Linked DNA regions of Oryctolagus cuniculus. The protein of the gene in region 1 purifies or fractionates together with the protein of each later gene. This does not show direct contact. Links are inferred from orthologs where the notes say so. Each region holds a gene or a part of one and is shown on either strand. Other genes may lie near its edges.

What was found. Proteins that work in one complex are often made in the same cells at the same time.
Region 2: the proteins of LPIN1 (region 1) and FBXW11 purify together in Homo sapiens (affinity purification with mass spectrometry; 4 studies listed by BioGRID and IntAct, with this or other methods). This does not show direct contact. The link is inferred for Oryctolagus cuniculus from reciprocal best matches to the Homo sapiens genes LPIN1 and FBXW11.

The regions. Positions count from the first base shown.
Region 1 is NC_091433.1:191,043,158-191,047,843, forward strand, and holds the start of LPIN1 (phosphatidate phosphatase LPIN1), read right to left. Parts: upstream 2,999-4,686; 5' UTR 2,840-2,998; coding exon of another isoform or gene 2,741-2,839; intron 1,774-2,740; exon of another isoform or gene 1,771-1,773; 5' UTR 1,571-1,770; intron 46-1,570; 5' UTR 1-45. UniProt on the Homo sapiens protein: Acts as a magnesium-dependent phosphatidate phosphatase enzyme which catalyzes the conversion of phosphatidic acid to diacylglycerol during triglyceride, phosphatidylcholine and phosphatidylethanolamine biosynthesis and therefore controls the metabolism of fatty acids at different levels.
Region 2 is NC_091437.1:58,575,926-58,580,103, forward strand, and holds part of FBXW11 (F-box/WD repeat-containing protein 11), read right to left. Parts: intron 2,912-4,178; coding exon 2,793-2,911; intron 323-2,792; coding exon 73-322; intron 1-72.

The sequences.
Region 1 (4,686 bases):
GGCCCTCGTGGGTCCACAAAGGCCATTATCGTGGGAGTGGGTTCCCTGTGGAAGGACAGATTTGGTCCCTCATTGTGGTTCTGTCTCTTGCCCTTCTTCCACCCTTATGACATAGCAGAAAACCCCTCCAGGGGGCTGGCCCCTCGTCTCAGACTTCCCAGCCTACAGAACTGGTCGTTGTCAATTACCCAGGCTATGGTTTTCTGGTTCAGCAGCAAAACACCAAGTGACCCAGGCCAGCACCTCCAGGGACACCCAGTGACCCTAGGAGGCCCCAGCAGGACACCCTGGAAAGGGCACATGGCCTCACCATGACACGTACCAACCTCCCTCTAACCACACAGCACACCACATGCACACCAGACCGAGGGCCATTCTGACGGTGTCGCCAGTGGAGTGTCGGCATCGTGAGAGGAGGCGGCGGCCTCAGGGACTGTAGGAAACAGGCGGCCCGACAACCGGAGGCGGTGAGGGTCCTGGGCAGGATCCCGGGACAGAGACAGACTGCTGCAGCAGCACTGGGGAAACCTGTACAAGTTCTGCAGCTTGGGTCAGCCAAATCCCACAGAACTGGCTCTTGAGGGCCACGTCTGCTTCCCAGCCAATGACTCCTGAAGACCCAAAGGCTAGAGAGGTCTGGGCAGAGGGGGAGGGCTGTGGGAGGGTTCCGGCTCTAAGCAGTTGGGGTCTGATCCGGACTTTGCAGGCGCTGCCTGGGACAAGCAGCAGAGGAGGGGCTGGGCTAGAGACGGAGCGACAAGTTTATCAAACCTGCGGCCCTGGGAGAGCTCAAAACCGGTTCAGGATTCACTGTGCAGGTTATCAGATAAGGCGAGGGGTTTGTTGCATGGTTACCATAAGAAGGCGGGTGGGGACCCACAGGCGGCAGCCTGAGATGGCCCCGGAGAGTTGCTGTTGGACCTTGAAGGCTCTGGAGAACCACTAAAAGCCGCTGAGCAGGGGCCAAAATGCTGACTTTGGCCTTACAAAGACGCGCCCGGCTGAGGGAGAAGGGGCGGGGATCCCAGAGGGTCTGGGGGTCTGTTCCAGGGGCAAGCAGTGATCATGACCAATTGCCAACCTGCTTGAGCTGATGAAAACAGATGGCCCCAGCGACAGCCCCGCCCTCGGCCCCCACAGGCTCGGGGTGGGCTGGGGTCTCCTCCCCGGTGGGGGGGGGCAAGGTCCTGACCCCGCTCCGTGAAAGGAGAACCCTTGGAGCTGTTCCCAGTGATGCCGTTGCCAGGTGTAGGAGAACTGACTCTGCATTGGTTTCCACAATCAAAGAAGGGCAGGGCATCCAGGGAGAAAAAAGCGGTTCAGGAACCGAGCCGTGTGCGCTTCCCTACGCGGGGCTGGGCGTGGGTGTCGGCTGTTGACCGCCACCCCTCCCCAACTCAGGAACAAACCAGAACAGATGAAAAGCCCACTCTCCTAAAATCCCTGAAGCATGATTGCAAGACTCAGTATGTATCTAAGCGTGGTACCGACCTCAACCCCCTGGAACACAGGAAGGGAAAGAGGAGGGGGCAAGGGCAGGGGGGAAAAAGCCGAAGAAAACGTCACCTACTTCTCAAAGGTGCTGTGGGCCGTCCAGGGGTCCTGGTTTGGAATCGCGGCTCTCGTCCCTACCATTCCTCGTGCTACCAACAGCCATCAGACTCTGCAGACTCCAACTTGGAGAGCTCCAGGAAAACACACTCGGTATTTTAGGCTGGCACATTCTTCCAGAGGGCACGTCCCTGGCATTCCCCAAGTTAATGAGAGCAACTACTAGAAGAAAAATTGTATGCATTGGAATTGTACGTATACGGATTAACAGAACTCCTTGAGAAGACTGGACAACGGCCCGGAGCAAATCAATGAACAGAGACTGGACCAGGAAGCCCCAAGAGTCCTGTTAGAGAGCTCTGATCTCCCCAGGTGTCCGTCCCTGCTGGCACCCTTCAGTGAGGCTGTGCTGGGGAAAGCCACGTGAGGGAAACACCGACACAAAACCCTGGACAGTTGAGGCCAGTGTCGTGGCGCAGCCAGTTGAGCCGCCACTTGGGACGCTGGCATACCGCATTAGAGCGTCAGTTCCAGTCCTGGCTGCGCCGCCTCCAATCCAGCTCCCTGCTAATGTGCCTGGGAAAGCAGTGGAAGATGGCCCAAGTGCTTGGGGCCCTGTAACCCACATGGGGGATCAAGATGGAGCTCCTGGCGAGCAGTTTTGTCCTGATCCAGTCCTGGCCATTGTAGCCATTTGGGAACAAGTGGATGGAAACTCACCCCCCCCCCCCCCGTCACTCTGCCTTTCAAATCAATACATATATCTTAAAAGAAAATAAAACCCTGGAGGCCAGCACTGCGTGCAGCAGGTCAAGCGCCATCTGTGTTGCCAGCATCACACATGAGTGCCAGTTCAAGTCCTGGTTACTCCACTTCTGATCTAGCTTCCTGCTGAGATGCCTGGGAAAGCAGCAAAAGACGGACCCCTGTCACCTATGTGGGAGACCTGGATGGAGTTCCTGACTCCTGGCTCTGGCTCGGCCCAGCCCTGGAGGTTGTACCCATTTGGGGAGTCACCCAAGTCGATGGAAGATCTCTCTCTCTCTCTCTCTCTCTGTCTCTCTCTCTCTCTTTCTCCCTCCCTCCCTCCCTTTCAAATAACTAAATAAACCTTAAAAATGAACAAATCCTGGACAGCTCTCAAAGAAGCGTCATCATTCTCCACCCTCCCTCCCTGCCTGCCTTGTACCTTGGCCACCCGAAAAGAATCTTCTCGCCGCCATTTGGAGGGTGAATCATCAGGACCCCATCCAGCTTCCACAGACTTCGTGAGGAAGTCCCTGTTCATAGCAACTTTGGAGTCTTGGCTGATTTTTCGCTTCCTCCCAGTTCTCCACCTCTCCCCTCCCCCGGTGTGGTGGTTGTTGGGGTGGGCATGGCTGGCTCCCCCCTGGTCTTGCCCCTCAGTCCACCCCCTGCCCTCCCATTTTCTCTCCTGCTCCACCTCCCTTTCTTCTGAGCCACTGCAAAGCTCCAGGGACAGCTCATTGTCCCTGGCTCAACTATGATGTCCCCACTGGTTCTGTGACATCAGCATTTGGTGGGGCCCAGGGGAGGAGAGACAGACTAAGATGGACAAGGTTGTGGCATGGGAGCCACGGAGCCCCGCCCTTGATTCAGAACAGAGACTGATCCTCCCCAAAAGCATGGAGCTCAGCGTGACCCAAGCTGCGCAACCCAGGGTGAGAGGCAGACACAGTTTGCTCCTCAGAGCTGGTCTCAGAGAGCCCATGCGGGAAGGCTGACCTTGCAAAACAGCACTCAGACGGGCCAGACCCCCAGCAGCCAAGGAAAACAGGAGTGATGGCTTATGTATGCAGTGAGTGAAGACGGCTGTGGCTTGGGCACGAAGGGCCCGTCTCCTTCGCTCTCCACCATGCACACTTGCTACCCTTTGCAGTCAAAACCCTGGCAAACTGCTTCTCAGAGAGGCTGTTCCTTTAGGAAACTCTGCCTTCCCACTGTCTCCTTTGCTTGTCAGCTTTTCCCTGAGTAATTCTCGCTTGAGGCCAATTACTCGGTGTCACCCCAAGTGAATGCCTTGAGTCCACTAATAGCACCCCACCACACAGAACAATCGTTTATGAGGTGTGGAAATGCGGTGTTCTCATAGTCACAGTCCTGGAGCAGATGTCGTTGAGGAGAAAACCCACCAATGACAGCAGGAGCGGAGCTCTTTAAAATCCCTAGAGCAGAGTAGGAATGGAGAAGAACCACAGAATGCCGTTGTTGAGCTATTGCCCAATCAACTAAAAATGGAAGGTTTCCAGGGCTGGTGTTGTGGCATAGCAGATTAAGCCACTGCCTGCGAGGCCAGAATCCTATATGGGTGCCGGTTCAAGTCCTGGCTGCTCCACCTCAGATCCCGCTCCCTGCTAATGCACCTGGGAAAGCAGCAGAGGGTGGCCCAAGGGTATGGTCAGAATGCCTGGTATGAAACATCCCACATCAGGGAAGAAGGTGCAACTTGGCCCTCTCAGCTCCATTCCCAAGTCCTTAACCTTCTGGAAAGTGCAGAGTCTGCGCCACTTGGGCTTCCAGGAAAACGAAGCCTCCTGACCCGTTCCCAGCAAGCTCTCCTGTGGGTGGTACTTTTGAACCTTGATGGGAAGGTCACATTTGGAAGACAAGTTCTCACAGGGGAGAGGTTCTTTGCTTTCGTCTCTAGACCATGGAGACTTGGAGAGAGATGTGTGGTCCCACGGAGCCCTACAGAGAGCATCGTGGTGTTCAAAGGCAGGGCAGCAGGTCCTGGTATCAGCGTGGGATTTGTGCGTCGCTTTGTTGACTTGTCATTGTGCCATGCACGTTTTAGTAAGTCATGTGCAAATCCAGCACATTCGGTCATCCCGGGTAATGGGACGCAGTGGGACCTAAAATATCTACACGTCGATTCTCCTAAACACTAGGCTCTTCCATCGTATCTCAGAAGGTGCAGGCCCTTCTGCACAAATTCGAGTCGGGGGGAGTGCTTCTGCAGTCATGATTCTCACCCTCAGAAGCACAGCTCTCCCGAGACCGGAGGAGGTATTACTTAAGCCAGCAGGTTCCGTGCGCCGGCAGATTCCAGCTCAGGTAACACCCCTGCTGGTCTCAGCAGAGTAACATCATGTGCCTTTGCATTTTCCCAACCCC
Region 2 (4,178 bases), on another chromosome or scaffold:
GACCTGTCTCCACTCTCTCTCTGGTCCATAAGAGACAGAAGCAGGCAGGGCTATGATTAAAGACTCACTTACTTTGATGGTCCTGTCACCAGAGGCAGACACGATGTATTTATCATCAAAGTCTACTACATTGACAGCAGCACGGTGGCCAACCAGGACACGGCGTAGAGTGATGTCGGTGGCCGAAGCCATGTCCCACACGGCAATGGAGCGGTCCTTAGAACAGGTCACCATGAGTCCATTGCTGAAGCGTAAGTGCAGTACAGCCTCATTGTGGTGGATCAATGTGTTGAGAACTTCACCTGTGTTCACATCCCAGACTCTAAATGAAAAGAGAAATGCATGCTGCTCAATTACTGAGAAAGCCAAGAAAAGACTCTGTCCTCTAAACTGAGTCCACTCTTTTTTCTGTTTGTTTCTTTTTTTCTGAGAGACAGACAGGAAGCTCCCATTCACTTGCTCACTCCCCAAATGCCTGCAACAGCCAGAGCCAAAAGCTTGAAACTCAATCTAGGTCTCCCTTATGGGTGGTAGGAACCCAATTACTTGAGCCATCACTGCTGCCTCTCAAGGTCTGCTGAAGTCAGGAAGTAGAGCCAGGAACCTAACCCAAAACTCCAATGTGTGACACAGATGTCTCCAGACTAAATACCTGTTCCCTGTATCCATTTTTTTTTAAAGATTTATTTATTTATTCATCTGAAAGGCAGAGTTATAGAGAGGCAGTGTGAGAGAGAGAGAGAGAGAGAGAGAGAGGTCTTCTATCCACTGGTTCACTACCCAAATGGCTGCCAACAGTCAGAGCTGGGCCAATCCGAAGCCAGGAGCCAGAAGCTTCTTCTGGGTTTCCCATGTGGGCGCAGAGACCCAAGCACTTGGGTCATCTTCCACTGCTTTCTCAGGCCATAGCAGAGAGCTGGATTGGAAGTGGAGCAGTGGGGACTCCAACTAGCACCCATACAGGATACCAGCACTGCCGGCAGTGGCTTTACCCACTGCATCACACTGCCAGCCCTGCCCTATGTCTATACTTAAAAGTACCTATGTACAGGATTACAAGGAGCCCTAGAAACAATTTATTTGCTGAGAAGTACTGAGATGGTTGACTTGACAGTCAGGTATTCAGGGACAGTGTTTGTAGGTTCATGCTGATGATGAATGATTGCTCAATGAAGTAGGCTTTGCAGTGAGTCTGAGATGGCAGGAAGACGGAGGTATAACGGCTGGGGAATTGAGAACAGTGCAGTTCTTGGTGACCTCTAACAAACAGACTTCTAGGTCTCTTACAAGTAAACTGGAAACTAGAAGTCATGATATCTCATCCAACACCACACCCATTTCTGTACTCAAATGCTTTATGGACAAAGCCAGGGTCTCCTACTTGCTTCATATTTGAGATACAAGATTTTTAAGGATGGTCTTGCCATAGCCTGGCTTTTCTATAACCCCAACCTCCTAAGATGACAAGTTCACATATAGTGGAGGAGAAGGCTCTGGTCTCTAGGACTGAGATGTGATTTCTGGCAGAAGCAGCAGCCTGGAAGTTCAAGGGCAGGAAGGGGATCCTGGGCTTGCTGTCAGCTGGGGAACAGGGAAGTCCGAGAGTGTGGCATGAGACTAGTGGCCACAGGATCGAGGAGAGGAAAGAGGATGGAGAATACAGTAACCCGGGGACAGACTCAGGGGCTATTGCTATCCCTCTGAGGCACACTGCAAAACAGCCCTCTTCCAGTACCTGATTCAGCCTAGAAGATGGATTTCCTTTAGACCCACATTCCCTTCCAGCCACCAGCCCACCAGCAGACAGTCCAGCTGAGGCGTCACTTAAGGACCTCTACTCAGATGGACTCATCTACACCCAGCTCCAGCTGGGGGAAAATATCCTTGTCCCAACTTGACTGAGGAAACTAGTTAACCTCTCTGGCTGTGGTTTCCTAATCCATCTATAAAAATGAAACTAGTATCTACCAACTTGGTAAAGGATGATGTGAGAACCTAAGAGTATAATATTATACAAAGTATCTAGCCAGCTATCTGGCACTCAGATTTTACTCTTCCTATGTCTCTCAAAGGTTCTGGAACCTGGGACAAGTGTTGGGCACAGTGGTTAAGATTCTGCTTAGGATGCTCACGTGTTGTATAAGAGAGCCTGGAATCTAGTCCTGGCTCCATTTCCAATTCCAGGTTCCTCCTAATGTCCTCTGGGGGACAGTAGGTGATGGCCCAGGTTCTTGGTTTCCTGTCAACCACACAAGACCCAGATTGAGTTCTGGACTCCTGGTTTCAGCCTAGCCCCACCCTGGCTATTGTGGGCATTTGGAGAGTGTACTAGTGGATGGAAAATATCTCTCTTGCTCCCTCTCTCCACCTTTCTTTTTTAAGATTTTATTTTATGTGAAAGACGGAGTTATAGAGAGAGTCCACTGGTTCACTCCCGAGATGGCCGCAATAGCTAGAGCTGGACCAGACCGAAGCCAGGAGCCAGGAGCTTCATCCATGTCTCCCATGTGGGTGGCATCCTCTGCTGCTTTCCCAGGCACATTAGCAAGGAGCTGGATCAGAAGTGAAGCAGCCAAGACATGAACTGGTGCCCATATGGGATGCCGGCATTGCAGGCGGCGGCTTTATCAGCTATACAACAATGCTGGCCCTTCCACCTTTCAAATAAAATGAAACATTTGTTAAATACAAATACAGCAAGTTAAACAATACAAAGTGTGTGTGCCAATCCCAGAAGCTGTGACTCTCAGTCTCCGCTTAAAATTTTAGAGCGATGAAGCTAGATCACTCACCTCACAGTAGAATCTGAAGAACCGGTTACAATAACACGTTCATCATACTGCAGACAAAGGACAGAGCCTGTGTGTCCTGTTAACACTTTCAAACATTCCAGGCTGGTTTTATCCCAAATCTATTGAGACAAGATCAATCACAAACAGTAACTTAGTATATCACGTTTTATAAATGTTATTGTCATACTTTATGAGCTGAATCAAAAAATAAAACACACCTGTGTTGCAGTAAATAAAAGCAGTTAAATATCATACATGTGGGAAATGACAAGAACAGGACAATGCTAATTTCTAGAACACAAGTGCTATTTTATTTAGATGTGCTGTTATACTATCAAAAACCCATATAAAAGGAATTATAAAATAAAAACATACTGTTTACCCTTTGTTTACAAAATGACAAAGATAAAAAATGAAACATTCAACATTTCAGCAAATTCAAGGTAAACCATGAAGAGTTCTAAATGAGAAAAATGTAACACTTCATAACAATCAAGTATTTAAAATGGTCAGAATAAAAACTGTCTATACAGTGACATAGTGACTACATACACATATATTTCTTTAAGGATTTATTTATTTGAAAGGTGCAGTTACAGAGAGAGAAATCTTCCATCTGCTGGTTTACTCCTCAAACAGCCACAACAGCTAGGGCTGGGCCAGACTGTAGGTACAGGGGCTCAAGAACTTGGGCCATCTGCTGCTGCTTTCCCAGGTACATTAGCAGGGAGCTGGATCGGAAGTGGAGCAGCTGTGACTCAAAGCAGCATCCATATGGGATGCTGGCACTGCAGGCAGCAGCTTAACTCACTATGCCACAGTGCCAGCCCCATGATTATATTTTTAAAGAAGAAAAATAACTAAAAGGAAATAAAATGTAAATAATAGTTATTTTTCTACTCATGGTCTTTTCCTGTCTCCATCTATTTGCCTTTTCTAGAATGTCACATAGTCAGAAGCACACAGTATATAGCCTTTTCAGATTGGCATCTTTTGCCTACTAACATGCAGTTAAGGTTCCTCCACATCTTTTTATGGCTTTAGAGGTCATTTCTTGTGTAGGTCACCTGGGCATCTGGCAATTAGGAAGTCCCTAGTCAAAATATCCAGCAATAAAGAAATCACCAGTGATGGAAAAACACTTACCCAGTGGCAATCTGTCTCAGATATGTATCTCCCAGGTTACAATCCAAGTTGCAGCACTCATCAGCCTCTATCTGTCCTGCCTCCTTTCAGTTTATTTAATAAATCTAACTCTTCTCTCTCTCTCTCTCTCTCTCTCTCTCTCTCTGACTGCTGGTAAATACTTTCACCACCTGCAACACTGTTCTCAATCAGTGGTTTCTCAGAATATTTCACACAACTTAAAGACAGGTCATTAGAAAT